Linked DNA regions of Ovis aries. The protein of the gene in region 1 purifies or fractionates together with the protein of each later gene. This does not show direct contact. Links are inferred from orthologs where the notes say so. Each region holds a gene or a part of one and is shown on either strand. Other genes may lie near its edges.

What was found.
Region 2: the proteins of KBTBD7 (region 1) and NSUN4 purify together in Homo sapiens (co-immunoprecipitation; 5 studies listed by BioGRID and IntAct, counting the BioPlex papers as one, with this or other methods). This does not show direct contact. The link is inferred for Ovis aries from reciprocal best matches to the Homo sapiens genes KBTBD7 and NSUN4.
Region 3: the proteins of KBTBD7 (region 1) and TEFM purify together in Homo sapiens (co-immunoprecipitation; 5 studies listed by BioGRID and IntAct, counting the BioPlex papers as one, with this or other methods). This does not show direct contact. The link is inferred for Ovis aries from reciprocal best matches to the Homo sapiens genes KBTBD7 and TEFM.
Region 4: the proteins of KBTBD7 (region 1) and VANGL1 purify together in Homo sapiens (co-immunoprecipitation; 4 studies listed by BioGRID and IntAct, with this or other methods). This does not show direct contact. The link is inferred for Ovis aries from reciprocal best matches to the Homo sapiens genes KBTBD7 and VANGL1.
Region 5: the proteins of KBTBD7 (region 1) and TJP2 purify together in Homo sapiens (co-immunoprecipitation; 4 studies listed by BioGRID and IntAct, with this or other methods). This does not show direct contact. The link is inferred for Ovis aries from reciprocal best matches to the Homo sapiens genes KBTBD7 and TJP2.
Region 6: the proteins of KBTBD7 (region 1) and FBXL17 purify together in Homo sapiens (co-immunoprecipitation; 3 studies listed by BioGRID and IntAct, counting the BioPlex papers as one, with this or other methods). This does not show direct contact. The link is inferred for Ovis aries from reciprocal best matches to the Homo sapiens genes KBTBD7 and FBXL17.
Region 7: the proteins of KBTBD7 (region 1) and MRM2 purify together in Homo sapiens (co-immunoprecipitation; 3 studies listed by BioGRID and IntAct, counting the BioPlex papers as one, with this or other methods). This does not show direct contact. The link is inferred for Ovis aries from reciprocal best matches to the Homo sapiens genes KBTBD7 and MRM2.

Annotation. Positions count from the first base shown.
Region 1 is NC_056063.1:11,789,708-11,793,979, forward strand, and holds the start of KBTBD7 (kelch repeat and BTB domain-containing protein 7), read right to left. Parts: upstream 2,801-4,272; 5' UTR 2,521-2,800; coding exon 478-2,520; 3' UTR 1-477. UniProt on the Homo sapiens protein: As part of the CUL3(KBTBD6/7) E3 ubiquitin ligase complex functions as a substrate adapter for the RAC1 guanine exchange factor (GEF) TIAM1, mediating its 'Lys-48' ubiquitination and proteasomal degradation.
Region 2 is NC_056054.1:20,917,419-20,920,918, reverse strand, and holds part of NSUN4 (5-methylcytosine rRNA methyltransferase NSUN4), read right to left. Parts: intron 478-3,500; coding exon 323-477; intron 1-322. UniProt on the Homo sapiens protein: Mitochondrial RNA cytosine C(5)-methyltransferase that methylates cytosine to 5-methylcytosine (m5C) in various RNAs, such as rRNAs, mRNAs and some long non-coding RNAs (lncRNAs).
Region 3 is NC_056064.1:17,804,389-17,808,546, forward strand, and holds the start of TEFM (transcription elongation factor, mitochondrial), read left to right. Parts: upstream 1-1,358; 5' UTR 1,359-1,384; coding exon 1,385-1,415; intron 1,416-2,295; coding exon 2,296-2,759; intron 2,760-3,840; coding exon 3,841-3,990; intron 3,991-4,158. UniProt on the Homo sapiens protein: Transcription elongation factor which increases mitochondrial RNA polymerase processivity. Regulates transcription of the mitochondrial genome, including genes important for the oxidative phosphorylation machinery.
Region 4 is NC_056054.1:93,020,666-93,024,165, reverse strand, and holds part of VANGL1 (vang-like protein 1), read right to left. Parts: intron 539-3,500; coding exon 278-538; 3' UTR 1-277.
Region 5 is NC_056055.1:67,439,196-67,442,695, forward strand, and holds part of TJP2 (tight junction protein ZO-2), read right to left. Parts: intron 2,261-3,500; coding exon 2,194-2,260; intron 1,378-2,193; coding exon 1,227-1,377; intron 1-1,226. UniProt on the Homo sapiens protein: Plays a role in tight junctions and adherens junctions. Acts as a positive regulator of RANKL-induced osteoclast differentiation, potentially via mediating downstream transcriptional activity.
Region 6 is NC_056058.1:104,498,182-104,501,681, reverse strand, and holds part of FBXL17 (F-box/LRR-repeat protein 17), read left to right. Parts: intron 1-916; coding exon 917-1,059; intron 1,060-3,500. UniProt on the Homo sapiens protein: Substrate-recognition component of the SCF(FBXL17) E3 ubiquitin ligase complex, a key component of a quality control pathway required to ensure functional dimerization of BTB domain-containing proteins (dimerization quality control, DQC).
Region 7 is NC_056077.1:41,355,697-41,359,797, reverse strand, and holds the start of MRM2 (rRNA methyltransferase 2, mitochondrial), read right to left. Parts: upstream 2,801-4,101; 5' UTR 2,762-2,800; coding exon 2,754-2,761; intron 2,555-2,753; exon of another isoform or gene 1,970-2,554; intron 806-1,969; coding exon 516-805; exon of another isoform or gene 1-515. UniProt on the Homo sapiens protein: S-adenosyl-L-methionine-dependent 2'-O-ribose methyltransferase that catalyzes the formation of 2'-O-methyluridine at position 1369 (Um1369) in the 16S mitochondrial large subunit ribosomal RNA (mtLSU rRNA), a universally conserved modification in the peptidyl transferase domain of the mtLSU rRNA.

The DNA.
Region 1 (4,272 bases):
TTTCATTATTCAGAAGATAGAAATCTTCAAAACCCTGCCAACAATTTCTAGTCCAATTTTCTACACAAAAATGAAAAAGCTAACTTCCCCCCCACAACACTAAACAGAATTTAAAAATGAACAGAAGACTAAATTAGATAATCAAAATATAAACCGTGTAATTAATGAAAACAATTCACTAGTGCAACAAATTCTTGAACACAGAAAAAAAACCAGCAAGCATTCTAATCAATTACATGGTTCATTTTTTGGGGGGGGGGAGGCATATTTTAATCTCAACTTTCAGCACAGTAAATTATATAGCTGATTTCATGGACTGTTTACATTTTATAACATTACATTAGCAACTCAAACATTACCCTTTCTAAACCAAATATGCAATCCTAATCAAAGTTTTCTTTTTTCCCCAGAAAAAGGAAAGGACATCTTTTTAAGATATATTCATAGCAATAGAAACATCTTAGTATTTCAAAATATTTACAAAGAACCCTGCTGATCCTGTGCATTTCGCTGAGGGGCTACCTGTACCCAGACTTCATCATCAGAAAAAGAACTTGAACTTCCTGACTCAGAGTCCAGTTCACTGAACCCATCTAAGTCCCATTCAGTACTAGACTCACTCCGTGCATCATCTTCCTCAGTGATGAAACTCTGACCAGGTTCAAGGCAGGAAGGATAAACCCGAGCACAGAGACAAATAAAGCCAGAGTCAAACTGCAGAAGACCTAACATGGTCCCTATATTAATCCACTGGTCTTCCCTTGTATCATATTCATACACAGTTACCCGGTTTTTTTTCCACTGAGGGGTTGTAGAAGTGATGAGGAGCAACTTTTGGCCATGATTGACAATCTGGTAGTTGTGGGTCTCCGAGTCCAGGGGAATATTGCTAATACGCCTCCATTCTCCCCGGGCTGGGTTATACACCTTCATGACTGGGATGTCACAGATGCAGTAGATCTCATCATTGAAGACACAGGCTTCCTGAAAGTCACTCCGTTTAAGAGAAGCACAGTTCAGCCACATATTATGGCTAGGATCATAGCAGAGCATGCGCTTACTATTCACAGCATAAAGATAGTTCTGAACCACTATGAGTTCAAAGGAATAGAAGGAATGTGGTACAGGAGCCACTAAGGCCCACTGGTTCCTCTGAACACTGTAGCACTCCACTTCCTTTAACTTCACTCCAGTAATGGGGTCACGCCCACCCAGGATGTAGATGTAGCCATTGAGGTATGCCACGTCCATGCCCTCCCGGCAGAGCAGGCGGTCGGCAAGTTGCTGCCAACTATTCTGGGCTGGTTTATACACCCAGAGATCCTTCCTGGGCTGGGCAGCTAGATAGATGTCATGGTCTGGAGAGACACAGACAGCTGAAGAGGTGACAGTCTTAGTGTGAGCCAAACTGGTCAAAGGTGATGGCATTGTGTAAATGTCCCCCGAGTATGGATCATAGCACAGAAAGGGATCTCTGGGATGGCCAAAGAAGATGACCATCTCCTTGGCACACATACCCAGCCTCTGGGGTGGATTTTCTGCTATGGACACAACAGAGCTACTGCTGCTGCTCTCTGGCTTGGGCACCAGGGACTTGCACAACATGTCACCATATCGCATCTGCAGGGCCCCTTCAACAAGGTCCAGACAGTACTTCTTTACAATGGGCTTGGTCAGCAGCTCTTCCACGTAGCCCCGATCTTCGTCAGTGAAGTGGGTCCAGCGGACACACTTGAAGACTTCTGCAGCGCTGGGACCCCGCTCCTTGGGAGCCGCCTCCAACCACTGCACCGCCACGTGACACACGGTCCGCTCACTCTCGATGTCTAGACTGTCCAGGCGCAGGACAGCTAGCAGCTGGGCCAGGGTCAGATCTGCCAGCGACTCTTCCCGAATCGAACCCATTCGGCTGAGCTGCTTGAAGTTGTGGGCTATAAAGGACTGGGCCTGTGATCGCAGCTTGTGATGGTCGAAGGCGTCGGCGAACTTGAGGATGGCCGTGCAGTTGGCCAGGTCAAGGCGGCGGGCTAGGAAGGAGGCACAGGCTTCCCGCACGTACTCCAGCTGCAGCATGTCGGAGGCCGCGTAAAGGCGCTGCACGTTGGCCTCACTTAATGACACGCGACCGGTGTAGCAGTAATCGACCAGCACCTCGAAGGACTCGGCGTCCACGTCGTGCATGGTCACGTTCGTCTGATGGCTCTCGTACATGCCGCCGGTGAACATGCTCTTGAAGTAGGGACACGCGGCCGCCAGCACGTTACGGTTGCAGGAAAAAAGGCGGCCCGTGCCAGGCCCGCTGCCGGGGGTGACCACCTCGATGGTCACATCACAGAGCAGCCGCGCGTCGTAGAAAGACTTGAGCTGGGCCAGCAGGGCTGCAGAATGGCCCGTGTCCTTCAGCTCCTCCGGGCCCGTGAAAAAAGCCGAAACTGAGGGCTTGGAAATCCTCTTGGGACGCCTCCCGCCGCGGGGACTGGCGAGGCGGCGAGAGCGCGGAGCTTCTTCCCGGGACTGCATGGTGAAGAGGGCGGCGGGGAGAGAAGGACGAGAACCGGGCTCTGGCGCCTCCTCGCTCTCTTTTCGCTGACGCCGAGACCGCTGTGTCCCTGAAAAGACTGCCGCGCTGACTTAAGTCAGCCCCGCTCCGCGGTGCCGCCTCCCTTTATCGCGTAGACAGTGCCTGACTCACCCGGTTCCAGTTCCACGCCCTTTCTCCGCCTCAGCTCGCCCTCACAGGACCTACAAACTGGAACCAAGCGGTCCGCCACCGCCGCGCTGGCAATACCGGTAGGTGCCTAGGAGAACTACAGCTCCCAGGTTGCCTTTCGCGCCTCGAGGCATGCCGGGACCCCGCGGACTCTGCGGCTTAGGCCGCCTCACAGGAGCCGCTGTGCATGTTGGGATCAGTAGTTCCAGTAATATCGCGAGGCTTCTGGGGGTCTACTGCTTTAACTAACAGAATCAGCAAGCGTTTATTCCAGATTTGATGGTTTAGAGCTGTGGGTTTGAAGTCTAGAGTGGAAGTCCCGTTTTAATATTCACCAGTTGTGTAAATTTTTTGTCAGAACTTTTCCCTGTCTGGAAATTGGGCATAATAGTATTTCATAGGATTCTGGGAGAATGGAATGATCTAAATTTCATAGGACATAGGATGCTTCAATAAATACTTGTTGATTAGATTAATAATTGTTTACACTGTGACTAAAATGCAAATATTGAGTAACTGTTGGCTTTTCATTTAGAATTTATGAAAAATGAGGCATCCACTTATTCGAAACCATGAGCAATTTCTACAAAGAAAACTGTGTTTACTGTTGCTTCTTGTAAGGCTCGGAGAACCGCGCTCTGAAAGGAACATTCAGGGACAGCCTCTAGTGGACTGACAAAGTTGATTATCCAGCTGCGCAGTTTTATAATTCTCAGGGAATAGAGCATAAGGCAGACTTGCACGTAGCCATTCCAGATAAACATTAAAGCATTCAAGCATAAAATACAGTTCCCACCACCTAAGACATAACGTGACTTTGGCAAAACTCTAAAGGGAGTCTTATCGTGAAACAACAGTCCTTGCTCCCAGGAAACAGGTGGTCATAAGGAAGCCTTTGAACGCTTCAAGGCCGGGCGTACTGACCCTTCGTCATCCGTTTCCAGCCTCAGGCACTCGATGCACGCTCATAACCCTCCGTTATGCTCGTTCCAGCTCCCAACCTTCGTCATAAGTGGAGCAAATACATTTTCCATGTCTGCTCAAAGCCTTCCAGCTCCTCCTTATCTCCTCCCTTTTTCCTTAAGAGCAAGGACTGCTGCAGCCACAGTTACTCCTGTTTTTTGGACGGAGGTGACTCGGGCACATAACGTTCGGAATCCTACAAGAACAATAACAAACAATAAACAGATCAGCGCATAAGTAGCCATCGTATGGGGTACCCAATTTTTTGGATTTAGAAAGGAGGTACTAGTGGATAGTGCATTATAGAAGTCAGTGTTCTATAACACAGGGGGAATGCTGCTGAAGGTAGATGTGATTTGTTGCTTCAATTTTTCTATATCTAGACTGTTTGATTTTGAACCTAAAAGATGTAACTTTATTTGTTCCCAAGGATATTCAGTGGCATTGTAGGGCATATTGGGCAAACAGAAAGTAGTGAAATTCCAGTGACACCGCAATTCAATTGTACCTGTAAAGCATGCAGATCATCCCCCGCATACATAAGGGCGGCTTGTAAGTCATCTAAGCGTGTTTGAATTTGCTGATCTATCTGAGCTTGC
Region 2 (3,500 bases), on another chromosome or scaffold:
AGTGTCATGTGGTAGACTAATCAGGGCTTTGCTTTAATCTGCTTTCAAAGACCTTGCTCTTGCTCTGCAGTCTTCCTTGGCCACCTGACAGAGAAAGAGAGGAAGTCACTTCGAACAGAACAAACACACCAGCTTAGCAAGTACTACCCTACCTGACCTGGACCAAAGAGCTCAGCATCTTCAGTGAGCCCCTGACTGGGGGAGGGAGGGGGAGGGAGGGGGAGGGAGGGGGAGGGAGGGGGAGGGAGGGGGAGGGAGGGGGAGGGAGGGGGAGGGAGGGGGAGGGAGCCCTCCCTGCTCAAGACACAGCCCTCTGACTTACGGCAACAGCCCGTCTGAAGCAACGCTAATGTCTTTCCCCCAGGGGCTGCACACAGGTCAAGCACAGTGTCCCCAGGCTGTAGGCCAAGGGCCAGGACAGGCAGCAAGGACGCGGCATCCATCAGGTAGTAGTCCATGAGACCCAGGCTGCCAAGCCTAGAAGAGAAGAGACCACCTTAAAGTGAAAGGCCAAGTCAGGAGACCCACCGGAAGTCAAGGTCTCAAGTCCAAAAAAACTCATTTCTCCGACCCACCCTCAGTTATGCACTCACTCACTCATTCATCCACACAGCAGCCAGAGCAGCCTTTTAAAACAGAAATCAACTCACTGGATTCCAGCCGCACTACTCATCTTGCTATCCCTTAATTAAGCCACGCATACTCCTGTTTTGTAGTTGTTCTGCTTTCTGCATGCAGCATACTTCCTCCAAATATATTTGCTTCCTCATTTGCTTCCTCACTTCTTTCAGGTCCTCCGTGAAAGTTACCTCACCAAAGAGGCACTGGTATGCCCTGACCACTCTATCTGAAAATAGCAGCCCCCTACTCCCATCTATCTTTAAAGTATTTATTATTCACTTTGTAAGTATAAGGGTATGTGTGTGTGTGTGTCTATTTTTCTCCTTCTCTCTCTCCCTATTAGAGTGAAGGTAGAGACTTTGTCTTGCTTTGTTCATTATAACATCTCCAACACCTGAAACAGTGAATGGCGTGTGGTAGGAACTCAGTTTTATTAGGTTACATATTGAGATACCAAGTTCTTTCTGGGTTCAGAAAAGGATGCCATCCATTGTGACTGTCAGAGTTAAAATTATCTGACTTAGGTTTGGAGGAAGGAATGGACTTTCATTAGGTTAAAAAAAGGGAGCAGGGTGGGGAAGAGGCGCATTCTGAGCAGAAGAAAACAAAAACACCAAAGGCACAGAACCAAACACATAGCTTCTTTCAGACACAGTGAGAAATCTGGTGTGTCAGAAATACAAGGATTTCCAACCAGTCCATCCTAAAGGAGATCAGTCCTGGGTGTTCATTGGAAGGACTGATGTTGAAGCTGAAACTGCAATATTTTGGCCACCTGATGCAAAGAACTGACTCATTGGAAAAGACCCTGATGCTGGGAAAGATTGAGGGCAGGAGGAGAAGGGGACGACAGAGGATGAGATGGTACATGAGATTGAAGTTCAGTTCAGTTCAGTCGCTCAGTCGTGTCCAATTCTTTGCAACCCCAAGAATCGCAGCACGCCAGGCCTCCCTGTCCATCACCAACTCCCGGAGTTCACTCAAACTCATGTCCATCGAGTCAGTGATGCCATCCAGCCATCTCATTCTCTGTCCCCTTTTCCTCCTGCCCCCAATCCCTCCCAGCATCAGAGTCTTTTCCAATGAGTCAACTCTTCGCATGAGGTGGCCAAAGTACTGGAGTTTCAGCTTTAGCATCAGTCCTTCCAATGAACACCCAGGACTGATCTCCTTTAGGATGGACTGGTTGGATCTCCTTGCAGTCCAAGGGACTCTCAAGAGTCTTCTCCAACACCACAGTTCAAAAGCATCAATTCTTTGGCCCTCAGCCTTCTTTATGGTCCAACTCTCAAATTCATACATGACCACTGGAAAAACCATAGCCTTGACTAGACGTACCTTTGTTGGGAAAGTAATATCTCTGCTTTTGAATATGCTATCTAGGTTGGTCATACCTTTCCTTCCAAGGAGTAAGCATCTTTTAACTTCATGGCTGCAATCACCATCTGTGGTGATTTTGGAGCCCAAGAAAATAAAGTCCATCACTGTTTCCACTGTTTCCCCATCTACTTGCCATGAAGTGAGAGGACCAGATTGAAGTTGCAAAGCAGATAGAGGCCAAGGTTGTAACAGATATTAAGTTTGGACTATAACCTGTAGGCAGTTACCAAAAATTTGTAAAGAAAATCACATGATTAGCTAGTGAGAGTTTTAGAAAGCTAGGTAGGCTAGAAAGAACAAATTAGAAACAGAGACACCAGTGAGAAGGCTGTTAGGAGAGTCCAAGTGAGAGCTAATGACACACAGATAGAGGCAGCAATCATTAGGGCAGAGGGGGATGCCAACAACATGATAGTCACAGAAGGACACCTCACTCGCAGCTGTCATACGGGCAACTGCAGGGCAGTCACTCAGCCTGAGACACAGCTCAGCAAGGACAGCCTTTGGGGACAGTCTCAAGGAGACAGAAAACTTGGTCCTTGCTGTCCTGACAGGAAGGCTGTGGGAGAAAGATGGGATAAGACACAAGACATAGTACTACTGAGGATCAGCTACAAGAGCTACCATCCTTTCACACTTGAATTGTCTGTGAAACTGTGTGCCTTGTAGCTGACAAAGGAGAAAGACAAATCAGAGAAAAATAAACAATTGCTATCATAGCTGTACTGGCTCACAAAAACCCATTCTTACCAAGTTCCTTCCTTTTATTAATTTATTTTTTTTAAGTTCCTTTCTTTAAGAAGCATTACTCAACCTTTTTTTTTGCGGGGGGCAGTTCATAGTTTTGAGAATCAGTTAAAAGTTACAATATCTCTTTTCAAAAAAAAGGCACAGTATTCTTATGGCTGATTCACATTGTTGTATGGCAGCAACCAACACAACACTGTAAAGCAAATATCCTGCAATTAAAATTTTAAAAAGAAAGTAAAACAACTTTTCAATTTCAGGAGGTTCCTGGACTCTGTGAATACATTTTTGAACTTTCCAGAGGTTAAGATCCCCTTGATTTACAGGGAATCCATCAAGACAAGAAGGAAAAGATTCAAATATAGAGATCTGCTTTCCCCCTACTCTCAGGGTGTCCTCAGGCAACTTAAAAAACAACATGGTCTTACTCCATGGATTTGCCTAAAGCCAGGGCCTCCAAATCGGCCTCTAACCCTGCTCCAATCTATGCCCTCCTCACTGTGACTAAAACGATCTTCCTGAAACACACCTTTGATGGCAATAACATCAATAGTAACAGATACTATGTATGAGTGTTATATTGCAGGGACTATACTTGGTTTTTAATATGCATCATTTGATTTAATTCTTACTACAACCCTATGAGGCAGGAGAACTCAGATTCTAGAGCCAGACTACCTGGACCTCAAATCCAGCCCACCTGCTCATCAGTTGTATGACCTTTAGCAAATCAGTCAACTTCTCTGTACCTC
Region 3 (4,158 bases), on another chromosome or scaffold:
GTGTGGGGATGATCCCTGGGTGGGGAAGATCGCCTGGAAGAGGGCATGGCAACCCACTCCAGTTTTCTTTCCTGGAAAATCCCATCGACAGAGGAGCCTGGTGGGTTGCAAACAGTCCATGAGGTTGCAAAGAGTCAGATACAACTGATATGATATGATGATGGTATGATATACATATCTTTTGTGAAGGGGCCCAGAGTCAGCAACAGAGGCATCAGTGGTTTCGTGGATAAGGGTCTGAAGCAAAAGGGTTCTGGAGAGGCACTGCACGGTGGCAGGCAGGACAAGGCAACCTGTCTTCACTGGGTGTGGGGGAAATGACCCCAGGTTGCCCGGAAACCAGGGAAGGAGGATGCCCCTCACCACCCCTTTAATAAATTATCCTAGTAGAGATGTTTTGAGCTATAGATTAGGAAAATCACTAGCTGGGACTGGGGGCAAGTACATAGGCATTTACTCGTTAGGTTCTATGACTAGGAGGGATGATGTGAGGGTGGTGCAGGTGAAGCGGGGACTGTTCTAGCAGTGAGTGTACAAAGAGCAAGGAACAGCCATCCAGCATTACCAGATCACACAACTGCCCGGGTTCAGTTCCTGACGGTTGCCTATGCCTTGAGGATACACTAGCTTCCAGGTACACTTTGTTACCTCTACTCCAGCCTCACACTTCAACGTATGGTCAGTTTTTCAGAAACACACCTCAAGTCTGACTCTACAAAGTCGAGGTGGTTTCCAGACAGGACCAACCATTTTTGGCGCCAGCCTGATCTGCATCCATCCCTTCCACAGGGGATACTTTTGAGGCCCAGCGCTAAAGCCATTTCCTCCTCAGGCTCCCTTCCTGGAGCTTGTCTTCAGCTTGCTGGGCTCCTGAAACACCACCTCGCAGCTGTCCCAGTTAGTCCATTCTACCTGGGGTATTGGTTATGTATGTTCCTGCCTACGTTCCCCCGCCAGACTCTCCTCCTTGCGCCCCAGACAGGAGTTCACCAATCTAGATGCCTGGATCCAAGCCCAGGGAGGCTCCCCAAAGGAAGGATCTTGCCAACTACAAGCTAAAACCCGCCCAGACGTTCTCTTCCCAGAGATTCGGCTCTGCAGCTTTCAGGGGCCACAGTGGGCGAGGCCGTTTTCCGGATGGAGAGGAACGAACCTACGGCGCAGCTGTGAGCTCCGGATCCCAGCACTACTACGCCGACGGAGTCTGCGTCGAGGCTCTACGAAGCGACTGCCCACAGCCCAGCTGGAAGCCCCTAGTGGCGGGCCGGAACGGCGCTTCCGCCGGAACCTTTGAGAAGCCGGGCGCTTTTGGGAGAAGCACGCAGAAACCGGAAGTCCGTGGGGGAATACTGGCCCGTAGGAACCTAGAGCTTTAGCGTGGAGGATGAACGTCCCTAGTCTCCTCTTGGCGGGAGGTAGGGTGCCTGAAATACTGGATGAATCTGCCGTATGCTTTTAGTGCCTGGCGTGTTTACCCTCTCAGGTCCCGTGTCCAGGTCTCCCTCTTGGAGACCCTGCCGGGGAGACTGGGCGGTTCTGGTCGCCTCTGAGCTATTGGGATTCCTTTCCCTGGGTTAAGGGTCCACGAGGGACTCCTCGGACTGAGCTGAGGGCAGAGGGCAGAAGGTTCAGTGTCTGACAGCTGCTTGCTTACTTCTGGATGCGTTATTGTCCTGTGGCCGCAATGTAAAACTTTCCCCTGGTTTTACAGAGTTGCTCTTTGTATGGGTTTTCTTCTTTGTAGACTTATGGTAGAAATCGTGAAAAGAGTACAAAAGAAAATAAAAACCGCTCTTAAATTTACCACTCAGCTAAAACATTTCTTGTAAACGGGTAAAATTTAGTTTTGTTTTATCCGCTCTGTGCAGCTTTCGGGATCTTAGTTCCCTGCCTGGCGATTGAATCCCCCGCTCTGGCAGTGACAGCGCCAACCACTCCAGCGTCAGGGAATTCTCTAAAATGTAGTTTTATTTGGTTCCACTGGATGAGAAAGAAACTAGTGAAGATAAATATTGTTTAAAATATCAGTTAATTGCAAAAATATTTCTCTAAGGTTAAAATTTTTAAAAACGTTAAAAAGTTGGAAATAATCGTTTTAAATACATGCTTCTTGTTGGACGTAAGATTTATATGTAGTAAAATTTAAGTTTGTTACCCACAAAAATCAGACTATATCTCTTATGGATAGTTCTTAAATGATGGGAAAGTCCGTATCACTTTGCAATCGCCCTCGTTAGGCCACAACACTAAGAGGAACTAACGTCTAACTTAAATTTTGCTAAAATTTTCTTTTAGGGAGATGGAGATGTTTTCCACTTCCATTAGGGTCCTCCTTATTCCAGGCCCTACATAATTCCTGCTGTCGGAAAGAATCCACTGCACCAGAGAAAATCATTCCCCATGTTGATTTTTCTGATGAGACTGCAAAGGAGTCTGGAAAGACATTTGACAAGCTCTTTTCTTCAGAACAGCAGGCTTCCATCTTGCATGTGTTGAATACAGCATCTAATAAAGAACTTGAAGCTTTCAAATTGCTTCGTGGAAAAAAGTCCCTCAATATTATAGAACACAGAAAAAAGTTTGGACCATTTCAGAATTTGGAGAGTTTAATGAATGTGCCCTTGTTCCACTATAAAATCACCATTCAAGTTTGTAACTCCATTCTTAATCCAGAGACTGGAGGGAAAAAAAAGAAGCTACAGGAAAGTCGGATCTTGAGAAAGCTCATCAAACCAGAAATAGGAAGAGAGAGAGTTAAGGTACACTCTTAATGTCTCTTTTACTGTCTAAATATTTGACACCCTACAAAGTACTATTCTGGGCACCAAGACAGGATTCTTCTGGCAATTATAGTTTAGTCCTGTGGACCCAGGGATACACACATAATCTATTTATAGTTATTCTCAAAGACATGAGATGTACAGATAGTAAATTGGCAATTTAGTGGAGAGAACTGTGTGTTGGGGAATGTTTACTAGAACTCAGCCTGGATCCTGGAGAGAGAGCTAGGCTAGTAGAAGAGGAAGGCATTTTAGGAAGGATAATTGATGTAGAGAGGTAGGTCTGTGCAGGACTTACGTAGAAGGAATGTTGAGTTACCTGTTTTTGTTTCTTCCTTTATTCCACATATCAGTTATACTCCTATTGCTTTTAATCTGTTTGTGCTTCTCACTGTGACTAAGATTCTTTGCGGTGTAACAGGTACCTGATGCAGATCTTTCTCCCTAGTCTAGCCATCGCCCATCCACTTATACACAGCTGTCCGTGTTCCTTATGAAATGTAAATGTTACACCTGAATGTTGTATGCTTTGGTGGCTCCCAGTAGCTCTCAGGATAAAGGAAGTTACTTTCTGCAGAAATCTGCCCACCCCTCTGCCCTTTCGCCACTTGCATTCTTTATGCCACTGTCTTGAGAGGTGTCACCCTATATCTGCAGACATCTGGGTGAAATAACTTCCCATTTACCGTTTTACTGTCTCCTAGTCCTCCAGTAAGTCTTCCTGACCATTTCTCCTCTCTACAGTGTAACTTGTATGGTGGTGTTTCTTATAATGTAGGGTCATGTCCCTTGTTTCCCAGTATCTAGCACATTCCCCAGCAACATCCGAATATCTGAACACCTGCTTTGAGCTAGGTGCTGAGAACAAGTAAAAGTTCTGCCTATAAACTGACTACTGCTGGTTACTTTTTAATAATAACTACTTTAATAATTCTTAGTTCATAAACTGTACATATTATTTCTATCACATAAACTAATTTGGATTTCTGAGTTTGTATCTTAAATCTTGTGTCTGTTAAAATGTTCACACTTATAATTAAACCAGGCTTTTTTGTTTCAGGCAGTTAATAGTATAGTATCCATTGTTTCTGGTACTCGAAGACTTGCCTGGGCTCACCTCGATCGTAAATTGGCAGTGCTGGACTGGCAGCAAACCGAATATTGCCAATTGATGAAAGGATCATACCTATCATCTGTCTATTTAGAAGAGGTAAGGCAGTTGCACCTCCAAATCCTGACCTGCTGGAGCTCCTCATCTTTTAGTCCTAAAAGGGATGAAATAGTTAAGGATGGATTTTCTTTGGGTACTTACTATTCACCTGTTCCTATTGTGTTTTCCATCGCTTATGTTTTTTTAATTAAAATGCTGTGCTGGGTC
Region 4 (3,500 bases), on another chromosome or scaffold:
CAGCTCTGCTTTGGTTTGCAGCTGTCACAGAAAACGCCAGGGAACTGCTTCTGGAGATGGCCCATCCCCAAGTCAGATGTCACCAGTCACTTTCTTCCAGGATGGCCATCTTCTGCTTCCTTCCAAATAAAGTGCAGATGGTCAAAGGACCCTGGTTTCTCATGTGCCAGCTCAGTCAGCCATGAAGAATAATAAAAACAAAGATGCCCCTCTGGTATACATATATATCTCTCTATATATTCTTTCTTTTTTTAATAAAACCACAAATATAGAACTTTTAAACTGACGTCTCAGACTGCAAGCGAAGGACAAATTTGTGAGATTTGGGGTCTATGAACTCTTCCGAGAGCATGATGAACGGAATTTTCTTCACATTGACAACGAGGCTGAAGTCCAAGCATTTAAGGACAAAAACGAGTCCATCCCGCAGCCCGTTGGTCACAGCCTCGTCGCTGACGAGCCGCCACTGCGTGGAGAGCCAGCGCTCCCGGTCGTACTGCAGTGTGGGGCCGGCGCTGAGGTACCGTTCGAGGAAGGCCTGTAAGGACAGCAGAGATGCTGTTAGGGAGGGAATGCCCACTCCAGGTGGCGCTGCCAGGCTCCCAGGCATGGGGGAAAAAACATCCTCCCAACAAACCAGGACAGCCTGGCTGATCATATACCAATTCCATCAGACCTGCACAACAGAGTCCTTTGCTGGGGAGAGAAGGCTTCCTGACTTCCTCACTCTCCAGCCAGAGGGTGCAGACAGTGGTAAGCACAAGGGTGAGGAAGGCGGGGTGCCTGGTACCCACGTAAGCCGTGGCTGAGACACCAGCCCCATCCAAGGGCCCAGGCCCCATGGCATATGCCTTGGCCTGTACCTGTTCATAGGTTGGTCTCCTCCCATCCTGAGAGCTCCTCGGGGCAAGTGCCAGGCACGGAGGAGCATTCTGGTAATGTGACTGGAAGAAATACAGGGATGTACCTGCTCACACAAAAATGCGTGCTCTGCATTCATTGCTATGTGCCTTTGAACAAGCTGTCTAACCTCTGTGAGTGGAGCAGATGGCAGCAGTAATGCACAGAACGGCTGTGAGGACAGGGTGGTTAACCTGAACCATCTCACGGTGCAAAAGAAGGATGGTTATTTGACTAAGGTGTCTCAGGCAGTACTGGAATCAGATGCACATCCGACAGGGAGAAGGGGGTGGGAACATTCAGTGAAAATATCCTTGGGTAAACTCAAGTGATCTTCCCTGGTAGCTCAGATGGTAAAGCGTCTGTCTGCCTACAAAGCAGGAGACCTGGGTTCAATCCCTGGGTTGGGAAGATCTCCTGGAGAAGGAAATGGCAACCCACTCCAGTACTCTTGCCTGGAAAATCTCATGGACAGAGGAACTGGTTAGGCTACAGTCCATGGGGTCGCAAAGAGTCAGACACGACTGAGCGACTTCACTCACTCACGTACATGGTAATCCAAAGGCTGGCCAGGTCCCACATCCACCTCGCCGACCCAAGCCCGAGGCTCCAGGAGTGCTGAGTTCCACGGGTGGGATACTCCCCTTGACATGTGCCGTTCCTCCTGCTGAATGCCGTCCTTTGGAAAATTCCTCCTGGCTCTTTAAATTTTCTCAAACTGCTCGCTGAGCCCCTCAGAGAGGTGAACGTGTCCTCCTGTAAGGGCCTACAATCATGGGCATGACTCCCATGTGACAGTCTACTTTCTGAACAATTACTGCTGACTGCTTGTCTGAGCCCCACACTGAACTATCCTCTCCTGGAGGGCAGGAATTATTTTTTCAATATGAATTTCCCATGTGTCTGGCATATGCTGGAGGCTCAACTGAATGTGTGTTACATCAATAAATATATCGCTTTAGCTGTGAGAAAGAAAAATGAACAAACCAGGGATATAGATAGAAAATATTAGGATGCATCACTCCGGTCCTCTTCATCCATACCTTACTGCTGCCAGATACAATATTTCTACCTATAAGTATATATTCTGAGGCAGAAAGGAGAGCTGTGCTTCTACTATAACACACACTTGTATAAAATTGGCTCTCATATGGGAATTCCCCAGCAGTCCAGTGGTTGGGATGTGGTGCTTTCACTGCCCGCCCCTGGTTCAATCCCTGGTTGGAAAACTAAGATCCCACAGGCTGTGCAGCACGGCCAAAAAAAAAAGCTTTTATGAATCATAAGGAAAAGAATCAGTTAGAGAAATGAAACTAAGAAGATAACTTATAAAATAGAAATAAGATATGCAAAGATACTCTATCACATTAATAGTTAAAGAAAAGTGAAAGTATTAGTTGCTCAGTTGTATCTGACTCTTTGCGACCCCACGGACTGTAACCTGCCAGGCTCCTCTGTCCATGGGATTCTCCAGGCAAGAACACTGGAGTGGATTGCCATGTCCTTCTCCAGGGATCAAACCCAGGTCTTCTGCGTTGCAGGCAGATTCTTTACCATCTTAGCCACCAGGGAAGCCCATAGTTAAAGAAATATGAATTCAAATAGAAAAACAGTATATTTCCCTCCTCTTAGATGCATGTCTGATTCTTTGCAACCCTATGGACTGTAGCCTGTCAGGCTCCACTGTCCATGGGATTCTCCAAGCAAGAATACTGGAGTGGGTTGCCATGCCCTCCTCCAGAGGATCATCCCAACCCAGGGATCAAACCTGCATCTCTTACGTCTCCTGCATCGGCAGGTGGGTTCTTTACCACTAGCACCACCTGGGAAGCATCATGCTCTTAGATGAGCACAATTAAAAAAGAATTATAACGCCCAATGCTGTCAAGTGTGTGCGTGGGGAAATAAATAAACAGTCTCATATCCTATAGGTAGAAATATAAAACAGTAATACCCCTTAGAAGGATAATTTGGCAAGATCTGTACCTTTGATCCAGCTATTCCTCTACTAGATATTGATCCCTCAGAAATACTTGCATATATGAATGAAAACATATGTAAAAAAAGAGAGATTCATTGCAACATTGTTTAGACGTGGGGCTGGCAAACTTTCCTTTAAATGTAAATATTTTTGGCTTCGCAAGGCACATACTGTCATAACTAAACTCAGCTGCAGTAGAGAGAAAGCAGTGGTAGATAATCTGTAAACAAAAGGGTGTGGCTGTGTCCCAGTAAAACTCGATTAACAAAAACCACCAACCCCTAGTTTAGACTAAGGAAAGATCTTAATCCGAATGTGCATTAGTAGGCCATCTGTTAAACAAACCATGGTATTCAGTGGAACAGGACACAGCTATTAAAGGGAATGAGGGAAATCTGTATGACAAGAGATGGGAAAGTACTGACAGAGAAAGACAGCCAAGAACAGCTTTAAGTGAAAAAACCAAGTTTCCAAGCTATACCTATATGGGATGAGATTCCCATTTCCTTTTTTTGTTGTTTTGTTCGTTTCTGCTTTAAGCGCACACACACACCTGAAAGAATATAAACCCATTCTTTATATTAGTAAGAACTGTCTAGGTGGCAGGGATGAAAAGTTC
Region 5 (3,500 bases), on another chromosome or scaffold:
CTGGTATGAGCTGGCACTCGAATGGGGCTCTTATTGGTAGCACTTGGTAAGCAGTGTTTCCTAGGCTCATGTGGTACCCTGAGGTTCACTCAGGTACACTTTGTCTTCCAGGATCCTGGCTAGAGCCAAAGAGGATCTAGAATGTCACTGCAAAGCTTCAGAGAACCTCGTGGTCAAGGTCTGCCCTTCATCTGCTCTGGAAATGAAATCTGAACTACCACCATGAGGCCACAGGCCAGGAAGGGCTCTGCTGCCTGCTGCCTTGGGAATTCTGCTTTTCTCCCCATCTCCTTTGAGGTTAGATGCTCTTCTTACCAGATCCCCTAGGAATTCATGATAAGAAAAGCAAGTTTACAGAAGCAGAAATTCCAGTGAAGACAATTCCCGAGCATTATATATTTTTATAGTCACAATGTACTCAGCATGCTTGAAGTGAACACTCAAGTCAACAGAAAACACATGGTATGTTTTTCATAAAATGTCAAAGCAGGACTTGCTTATCAGTTGTTTTTAAACCAACAGATTATACAAACACATATACAGTAGCTTTAAAAGTATCAATATTTGGTTAACCAGGTGTTCCCCTTCCTGAACAATTTTAGACGTAAGTGACACAGAGTGGCAGCAACTTGTTATTTTTCACTGGGAAAAAGAACGGACTCTGACCCTCCTCCTCTGTGCTAAGAACTCTGCTGAATTCTTGTATCATCTGTTCTAACTTTCCCAGGATCCCTGCGAGGCAGGTATGCTTATCCACATTGAACAGATACAGAAACCTGAGTCTCAGAGCTGGAGCCAAGGCCACAAACTAATATGAAGCTGGGACAGGATTCAAATCAGACGATCTGATGGCAACATTCACCTCTGCTCAGTTACAGCGCATGGCCTGCAGAGTGATAACCACGCAGGAGAATGGGCCAAAAACCACCAGAAAGATCTTCCCCCTAGGCCTTCAGTGAAAGTCTCAACTGTCCTGTGAATCAAACTAATAAAAATCTTTGTGAGGGTTCTGAACGCTGTAAGTTCCCATAAGGATGGGTTTTGGGTTCCAGGACTGAGGAGACAGGGTCCACTGGAACGAAACGGAGACCTGATGCTCAGCAGCAACAAGCCTGCAGCTGGTCTGTTTTCACCAGCGGGACCACTTCTTCATCCTTTACGTAAGACCCTCCAGGAAACCCTACTCTTTCCCAGTAACACCTACAAACAGGGCTGGGATCTCATACCTTCAGAATCTGGTCCCCTTCTTGAAGACCTTCTTGCTCCGCGGAGGTACCCTCTTGAATGCCGGCCACAAATAGCCCAACGTCATTGCCACCAGCCAGCCGGAGGCCCACACTGTCTCCCTTCTTGAACCTCACCATTTTGGTGTTGGGGCTGCAATGGGTTCAGTTTCAGTAAAGAAAGATGGGAGGTTTTCTTATTTTTTTTCGGTAAAGGAGAATCAACATTAGCAGTGAGAGATTTAATTTCTTCTATCTATAGAGTGATTTACCCTTTATAAACTCTTTCTTATATAATCTATAATTTTATCTTCCTTGGGGCTGTGAGATGAATATCAGGAGGCCACTTTACCAGTGAAGAACAGAAATAGAGAGAATGTCTAAGTAAACTCATTTAAGACAAAAAGCAAATAATGGGCAGGGTTGGGGTAAAAATTCAAGGCCATCTGATTCCTACTTCAGGATTCTTCCTAAGAAAATCCTGCTGATCCCACAGGGCTCCTGTCAAATGGAGACAGCCTAAGTCCAGGGGGGCAGGTTCCTAACCCATGGAATACCACGGAACCAGGGGTTCTCTGTCAAGTGCAGAGCCCTGCATCACTTCCCCCCTCCCTCCACACACCAGGGCCTCCTGTCACTACAGCCCCTACAGAGGCACCAGAGTTAAGCAGTTCTTCACCCATCTGGGCATTCTTGATCTGGCAAACTCAACTATTCAGAATAACATCGGAACACTAGCCAGCTAAGCAGACAAGCAGGCAAAGTGAACACTCACTTACTTCCCCATTTTACTCTTCCTACGAATGATTTCTCTTTCTTAAAAATACTAGCAATAGAGATGGGTTAAAGGCAGCTGATTATATACAAAATCATCACCATTTAATGGTGTTTAAGAACACCATTTTTCCAGATTTAAGTTAAGTGACAGAGCTGTGTGGAGGAAGAAAGGGGAACAGGAAGAGATGCCTACCCATATATTGCTAAATCTTCAGGACTTGGATGAAGAACAGCTCTTGGGGCTGGTTTTGGTGGAGGAACTGTGGATTAAAAAACATCACTAGTTATAAAATAAAAAAAAAATCATTAGCAACCAAGACAAACAGGTTTTGTCTCTAAATATGAAGATCACAAAATCCACAAAAAATTCAAGTCTGTTCCTTATGCTACATATACGTCATCACATCAAATGAAAAATGTCTTAAAAGTTAAATTTTGAAGCACTAGCAGATGTCAGTAGTTTCTCAAAAACAAGTGAGAAGGAAAATGAAACTTAAAAATGCAAGGTGCATAATCACATTTACAAAATGGTAGCATTTTAAAATAATTTAAAAGTCATGTAGCAATGCTGCTTTTTCCATGGGTAAATATTTATGCATTTAAATTATGATACTAATTTTATTGTGGTGGGGGGTAGGGGATGCAGTTGAGATCAGAAATGGGACACAGGGGCTTCCCTGGTGGCTCAGTGGTGAAGAATCCATCTCCCAATTCAGGAGACACAGGCTCCATCCCTGATCCGGGAAGATCCCACATGCCACGGCTCAGCTGAGCTCACGTGCCACAAGTACTGGGCCTGCGCTCTAGAGCCTGGGAGCCACAACCACCAAGTCAATGTGCCTTAGAGTCTGTGCTCTGCCGTAAGGGAAGCTACTTCAATGAGAAGCCGTGCACTGCAGCAAGAGACAAGCCCTCACAGCAACGAAGCCATGCACTACCACAAGAGGAAAGCCCCAGCACAGCCAAAAATAAATACATAAAATTATTTCTGAAATAAAGAAATGGGACATAAGAGGACTTTAATCAAATCTGACAAAATGCGACTGTGTGACGTAATTAACAAGTATGTATCTGGTCTCTGTGCCACCCCCAGGTCCTGACACAGAGATCCTAAAACCCCTACAGTTTCTGGAGTGAAAGGGGTACCAAGAGCATCTTTTGCTCTAATATTTGGTCTTTAACCCTAATTTCTGACACAGAGCTCCAACATCCTTTGGAATTTTCTGGGTGATAGGAGAATCCTTTGCTCTAAAGAGATGACTCCTAGTAGGCTTCTGGACAGCCTCAATCTGGGGCTGGTAACCAAGAGGAGGAAGTCATGCTCATGACAAAGCCTCCCAAAACTAGGGGATTCAGAACACTGCAGGATGGATGAAATCACTGAGGTGCTGGCAGGATGACCTGCCCAGTGAGGGCATGAAACCTCTCCACCCTCTCCCCATACCTTGCCCTAGGCATCTCTTCCATCTGGCTGTATCCTTTATTTCTAAAAAAATGATT
Region 6 (3,500 bases), on another chromosome or scaffold:
AATGCACCGTAAACGTTGTCTGGCTGGAGGTCTTGAAATCTGTTTTGCTGTGCTGCAAACGTAGAGGTGTGTGTGTTTCACTAGAAGCCTGTAGCCAAGAGCCACATTCGCCGACTGGATGCTCTGACGGGGTGACAGGTTATGGAGCCCTGCAGTGATGTGTGGTGTACATCACAGACTGTGGGATAAACCTCTGTGCGTCCGTAGAGGTACAGGGCTGAACAGCCAAGCAGACTAGGGGCAGGGGTAGTGTTTGTGTGACCGGCTTCATCCCCTGTGTCAATAAGAGGAAGACTTCCGATACAGTGCGGACATCCACCATAACAAATGCTAGCGCCAGCTAAATTCAACTGTGTGTATAATGTCCTCTGAATTCCCAGCTGTCTCAAGAAGGACTAATGTGAAAGATGTTATATGCTCTTACATTTTATAGATCATGAACAGATGGGGGGAAAGTGTGCCAATTGGTAAAGAAATTCATATGCAGAATAACACACCTCAAAATGGTGTTTCGAAGGTTTTTCTTTTTTAAAATTATTAAATTTATCTTGGATAAAATTTAATTACTCCTTGGGGGTTTCCTGTAATATTATATGCGTAATTCATTTGAGTTTATGCCCTCTACAGATATGAATGTTTGGAAGTACAGGTAACCTTGTAATGAATAAAACTGATAAAAGGTTGTGTTCCAATAAAAGGGAAATTATGGAATGATTATTCACTTTGTGAAAGGCTCTGTCATAGGGCACACTTTCCTAAAGCATTTTAAATTGGATTACATTTAGGAAACATTCGTTTATACACAACATTTCAGGAACAAATGTAGTGAGGAAATGAGAGAACTACTCATAATAAGATAGAGATCCCTTCCGCTGCTGACGTTTGTGCTTCCTGTCTTCTCTGCCTCCCCTCGCAGCTCTGATAGCCATCGGGCGATACAGCATGACAATAGAGACTGTGGACGTCGGCTGGTGCAAAGAGATCACGGACCAAGGGGCCACCCTGATTGCACAGAGCAGCAAGTCTTTAAGATACTTGGGGCTGATGAGATGTGATAAAGTGAGTTGCCTGTCGACCTTCTTTCCTACGTATCCGTGTCGTTTACAGCTTGATATTAGATTTTTCTTCACTACCTGGGTATATATATGTACACATGCACGTACTTATGTTATTACAGGTATGCATGGGAAGCTGCCTGGTTTTCTAAACTAATCTGAGATGATTTTTGAATATCTCTGTTTAAAAATGAATGTTTGTGCTTATGCAGAAAGAAAACAGCAGTCACACACACACTTAACTTAGATTTTGGCTTCCTGTCCGCAAGTCCACGGACCACGATTAAGTGTGTTTGCGTGGCACACTGCAGTGCGTGTGGCTTAACAGTGAAATTCCACTCAGGTTCCAAGTTTCCTGCAGCAGTAAGTTGGAAGGCCCGCTGCCAGATGATGCTGCCGCAGTCTGAAGTGCTCACTGCTCAGCGTCTTTGTGTTCTGCCCCTCAGGGGGGCAAGAAAGGGCCAGTGAGGCAACATTAGTTGGGAATCCCCACACTGCAGATGCTGCTTTTCACACATGTCGAGAAGCGGTCCCAGAGGCCCCACCGATGGTCAGTGGAGCTGGCCAGAGGCATGAGCCTGAGTTTGAGAAGTCGGGCTGCGTTTAATAAAGATGATCAGAAGCTGCACTGATAACCAGGCATTGGAGACGCACTTTCCCCTTTGTCTCTTTTACGTTTTCCTGGTAACAAATCTAGGAGATGGTCTGTGCTGCGAAGGGGAGAAAACGGAGCTCAGAAGGACCAGACACTGGCCCCATGCCCCCCATCCAGGGTGGCACCCCAGATCTTCAAGCCTATGGCCAGTGCCCAGGGCCCACCGCAGGGACTGTCTCCAGAGAAGGGGGTGCTTCCTTGGAAAAGACCCACCTCAGCTACTCGCTCTGAAAATGTTGGCAGCTTGTAACAATTTATACACGTGTGCTGCTTTTTGTGATTGGTGATTAGGCACAATGTAGCAAAAGAGCCTGAAGCTAAATATATATGCCTCTCAAAGGACATGCAGTTTCTAAATGTAGCAAATTGGGGACAAATAAGAATGGCCCAAATTCTCTGTGCGCTTTGTCAGTTTTGTTAATTGACCTAGTTCTTTTTTCCAGATGTTTTACAATCCCAGCTTATACCAGACCTTTCCAGTTAGTCATGATTAGAGAGACTTTATATACTCAGCCCAGCCTAGAAAGCTGACTGAGTTTATTACTGAGCAACAGCGGAGAGCCCGGGGTGGCAAGTCTCTCTTAAATTTCACCACTAACTAACTTAACACTGCTACTAACCCTGTCACTTCGAAATGATTCCTTTTAAAACAAGTGAGAGTCCATAGCAGGCAGAGTGTTCTAGAAACCCCGAACAGTGACAGCAGAACTCTTCGGCTTCTGCCCGAAGGAATCGCTGCGCACAAACTGCCTGCGCAAGGGCAGGAAGAGGTGAGCATTCACAGCCGGGCCCCTGCGCCCACAGCCATTCACAGCCGGGTCCCTGCGCCCACAGACATTCCCAGCCGGGCCCCTGCACCCACAGACATTCCCAGCCGGGCCCCTGCGCCCACAGCCATTCACAGCCGGGTCCCTGCGCCCACAGCCATTCACAGCCGGGCCCCTGCGCCCACAGCCATTCCCAGCCGGGCCCCTGCGCCCACAGCCATTCACAGCCGGGCCCCTGCGCCCACAGCCATTCCCAGCCGGGCCCCTGCGCCCACAGCCATTCACAGCCGGGTCCCTGCGCCCACAGCCATTCACAGCCGGGTCCCTGCGCCCACAGCCATTCCCAGCCGGGCCCCTGCGCCCACAGCCATTCCCAGCCGGGCCCCTGCGCCCACAGCCATTCACAGCCGGGTCCCTGCGCCCACAGCCATTCACAGCCGGGTCCCTGCACCCACAGACATTCCCAGCCGGGCCCCTGCGCCCACAGCCATTCCCAGCCGGGCCCCTGCGCCCACAGCCATTCCCAGCCGGGCCCCTGCGCCCACAGCCATTCACAGCCGGGTCCCTGCGCCCACAGCCATTCACAGCCGGGTCCCTGCGCCCACAGCCATTCCCAGCCGGGCCCCTGCGCCCACAGCCATTCACAGCCGGGTCCCTGCGCCCACAGCCATTCCCAGCCGGGCCCCTGCGCCCACAGCCATTCCCAGCCGGGCCCCTGCGCCCACAGCCATTCACAGCCGGGCCCCTGCGCCCACAGCCATTCACAGCCGGGTCCCTGCGCCCACAGCCATTCCCAGCCGGGCCCCTGCGCCCACAGCCATTCACAGCCGGGCCCCTGCGCCCACAGCCATTCACAGCCGGGTCCCTGCGCCCACAGCCATTCACAGCTGGGTCCCTGCGCCCACAGCCTCTGGCGGAGGCCACCGTGTTTCTAGTCCAGACTCTAGACCTGTTGAGATCAGCACCCTCTTTGGAGCTGAATTTGGTACTCCAGTTAGTTAAGAAGATCCTTTCAGATGTATT
Region 7 (4,101 bases), on another chromosome or scaffold:
TAGTTAAAACCCCCAAATATTATAAGAGATAAGCACTAAGTCTCTCAAGTTGGGCCAAAGTGGAGCGTCCAGAGCCACGAGGGCTGCCTGGGCAGCCCCAGGAGCAACTCCAGGAAACCCCAGGCTGATTCCGTTGTCCTGCCAAGGGAGGATGTCAAGGGAGGAAATCGCAGAGCGCTTTCTCTGCTGAGGAAAGAAACCTGACTTACAGACGGCCGTCTGAGCTCATTGCTGAGGCCAGGCATCAGCAGCAGAGGCCAAGGACGCCCACCACGTCTGCCTACGCGCTTCTGCGCTGTGGTCGCAGGTGACCTTCACCTTCCTTCCCCCTTCCTACCTCCCTCTTTCATTCTGAACATGCCAGTGTTTGGTTTGTGTCATTCCTACTAAACCAGCACGCAGAAGCACCTGCTTTCTCAAAGCAGCCTGGCTGCCCCGTGTGCCCTGAAGAGGGCGGCCGGCCTGCGTCTCAACCACAGTGGTCGGAAGGCCCCGAGACAATGCGGAGGCCCCACCTGTGCCCGCAGCGTTGACTCTCTGCACGGCCACCTGGCTCCACGCGCCAGGAGCAGCCCCACAGTCTAACACCCGGAGGCCGGGCCGTAGGATCTGGTGCCTCTCATTCATTTCCAGGAGCTTGAAGGCACTTCGACATCGGTAACTTTCCACCTTCGCAGCCTTCACAAACGGGTCCCTCAAATGCCGCGTCAGCCACAGGTGCTCAGCGCCAGTCCGGCTCTTGTAGCGACTCCCAGCGGCGGGGAACCTTTGACGCTGAAGGGAAGCCCACACCAGTTTCAAGGACCTGGTGAGGAAAAGGGAGCAAGCAGGTTGGCATCACATAGGCCAGTGGGGCCCCAGGCTCAACCCGCACATTTTTAGAGCTGGGTCACTACGGCCCAAGCAGGAGAGGCGACTTGACAAGGCTACCGCCGCAAAGGTGTTACGGGCTGAACCACATCCCCCGAGTCTGCAGGTGTGCTCAGTCATCCGACTCCGAGACCCCGTGGACCACAGCCCGCCAGGCTCCTCTGTCCACGGAATTCTCCAGGCAGGAACACTGGAGTGGGTTGCCATTTCCTTCTCCAGGGGCTCTTCCCAACCCAGAGATCCAACCCTGTCTCATATCTCCAGCATTGGCAGGTGGACTCTGTACCACCAGCACCACATAGGAAGCCCAAAGTCTACATGGTAAACTCCTAACCCCCAGTACCTCAAGATGTGACTGGTCTTTAATGAGGTAATTAAGGTAAAGTCCTGTGTGTGTGTGCTAAGACACCTTAGTCGTGTCTAACTCTCTGCAGCCCTGTGGACTGTAGCCTGTCAGGCTCTTCTGTCCATGGGAATCTCCAGGCAGGAGTCCTGGAGTGTGTTGCCATTTCCTTCTCCAGGGGATCTTCCCGACCCAGGGATTGGACTCTCATTTCTTATGTCTCCTGCACTGGCAGGCAGGTTCTTTAACCACTACCTTAAAGGGTAAATGGGTGGGCTCTATCCAATACTGGTGTCCTTATAAGAAGCAATCAAGACGCAGACACACACAGGACAAAGACCACGGGAAGACACAGGGAGAAGACGGCCGTCTGTAAGTCAAGGAGAGGCTTCAGAGACTAATCCTGCTGACAACTTGATTTCCATTTTCCAGACTGCAGACACTGAGCCAGTAAATGTCTGCTCTCTCAGCCGCCCATCCTGGGGTGCTTGGTTACAGGAGCCTGAGCAAACTAATCCAGCAGGCCTCTCCTCTGTGGTCAGAGATGCTTTTCTCTCCTGAAGTTTTCTTCAGAAGACAATCTCAGAGAGTAATGCTAGTTGCTTTGTGTCAACCAAAGTTTTCCCAATACTGGTTGAAAATATTGATAACCTTCATGAAAGGAACATTCCTTCTCACAGGATACAAATTTTCATTGGGCTCTAAGAAATTTAAACACACACACACACGCGAGGACAGGTCCTTTGCCTTACTTACCTCCACCGCTTTGGCAGGCAGCACAGGCTCTGACCAACCTGTCACATTTCTTGATAAAATTGAACTTACCCCGTGTATTAAATTAGAAGGGCCGTTTTCAAGCCTCTTTGGAAAGTGGGGCTTTTATAGACTGCCATGGGTTATCTATGGGTTATCTCTTTAACTCTCAGAACAACCCTACAAAGTATCTACATTCTTTTCTTCTGACAAAAAGAAAACAAAAAACTATTATTAGTCCCATGGCTCCCAGGCAAAAACATGTTGACAAAGATCTGGAGACAATACTCTTGAACTGCTGCCTTCAAAAGGCGAAAGGCGTCTCTAGAAAGAGGGCGCAGCGGTCCCGGGCGCCGAGGACTGCAGCGGGCAGCGGGCCCGGGTCCAGCCGATGCGGGCAGCTGACCGCCGGGGCCCCCACGACCAGCGGCCGGCCACACGGGGCTCTGGCTTGCGAGACACAGGCTTCAGGCCTGCGGTGCTCCGCGGGCGACACGCACCTCCAGCAGCAGCGCGCCCCCTCTCCCCACCGGCCTCGGCAGCCCTCCGCCCGCCGCCGCTCCTCGGAGCCTTGGCCGGTCCGCTCTCGGCAGGCCTCCGCTCGTCACGTCGCGGGGGCCGCCCGCCCCCTTTCCGGGCCAGGACCAGCCCCTTTCGGACCCGAAAACCGGGGCCGCCGTCTGGCCACTCCGCCTCCCGCACACATGCAGCAGGTGCTCCAGCAATCCCCACTGAGCGCCAGCCGCCGCGCGCACCGCCCTCCCACCTCAGCCGCCTCCCCGCTCACCCCGCCATGGACACGGAACCGCTCCGCCAGCCGCCACCGGAAGCGCTGGCCTCACTTCCGGCCCGAGGCCACGCCCCCGGAAGCGGCGCGTGGGTTCGAAAGGCGCGCGCAGGGCTGGGGCCTGGGTGAGTCCAGGGGCGAGGTCACGGGTGAGTCCGGGGGCGAGGTCACTGGGGAGCAGGGGATGCGGCCGCCGGAGATGGGCCTGGGTCCCGCCGAAAGGCAGCTGGCGGCCGTTCACGGACGGCCAGATACGGGAGCCCGAGCCTGGCGCCCGACGGGTGTAGTCTCTTTAAACCCTGGTCACGGGCCGCAGTGGACCGGTGATCCCGTTCAGAGGGCACTCTGCTGAGAAAGGGGGCCGCCCGGCCCCTGACGTCAAGTGGGCTCTCTGCGGACCCGCCTGACCGTAGTGCCAAGAGCTGTGGCCAACTGTACTTCAACAGCAGGCGGACCCAGGGTTCGGTACTGGCTCTGGAGTTTGACTTTCTGTCAGACTTCGCTTTTCTGAGCGTCTGTCTGCTTGGCCGAAAGCGGAGAAGCCAAGTCTCAGCTCACAGGGTCGTTGGGTCTGTTAACTGGGATACGTTTTGGAAAGTATATGATCGGTGCCTAATAACTGACGGCAGAGATTCCTAATTAATTTAGGAAGTCAGGGCTTTGCGCCTTTACAGGTCAGCAACATCACAAAGTCCGCATGTTAAACAGAGGTTGGACCCAGAGACCCACTTATGCAGGAGCTGCTGGCCAGCACAGGGACCCAGGCCTCGGTCCCTATTCTCGGACACCGTGACTTCCCTGGAGCATCCTTGGTCCCGAATCCTGCATCTCATTCAGTGTGGGCCCCAGACCGGGATGAGGATGGATGGACAGGGAGCAAGGTCCTGGGCCTCCATCATGTCTCCAGCAGTGACCAGACGTCCCCTGCAGGGCCTTCACACACATGCATTCGGGCAGGAGTGGTGTTACAGGCCGAGCACCAGGTCCCGGAGCAGCAATGTTTGTGAGCAGAATGTGAACACCTGTCCCAGCAGGAGAGCTGGCCAGGCCTCGCTGGGGGCTCTCCAGTGTCAGAGCCGTACATTTCCTGGGAATCTGGGGGTCTGGAACCCAGTAGCTAGAAGGCCCCATAATGAAAAGGCCAAGAGCAAAAGCCAGACGCAAGAACCGTTGGGTAAAAGCGTGGTTCATTTCATGCCAGGTGGGCTCAGAGGTGGACACAGGAGCAAGAACAGCCCTGCGCTAAGGAGAGAGGCAGGGACAACCTGGCCATTGCCTGACCTGCATCGGCCCAGCAAGCAAAGGGTCCAGGGCTGCCACCGCTGGGCCGTGGGCCAGGTCTCCATCT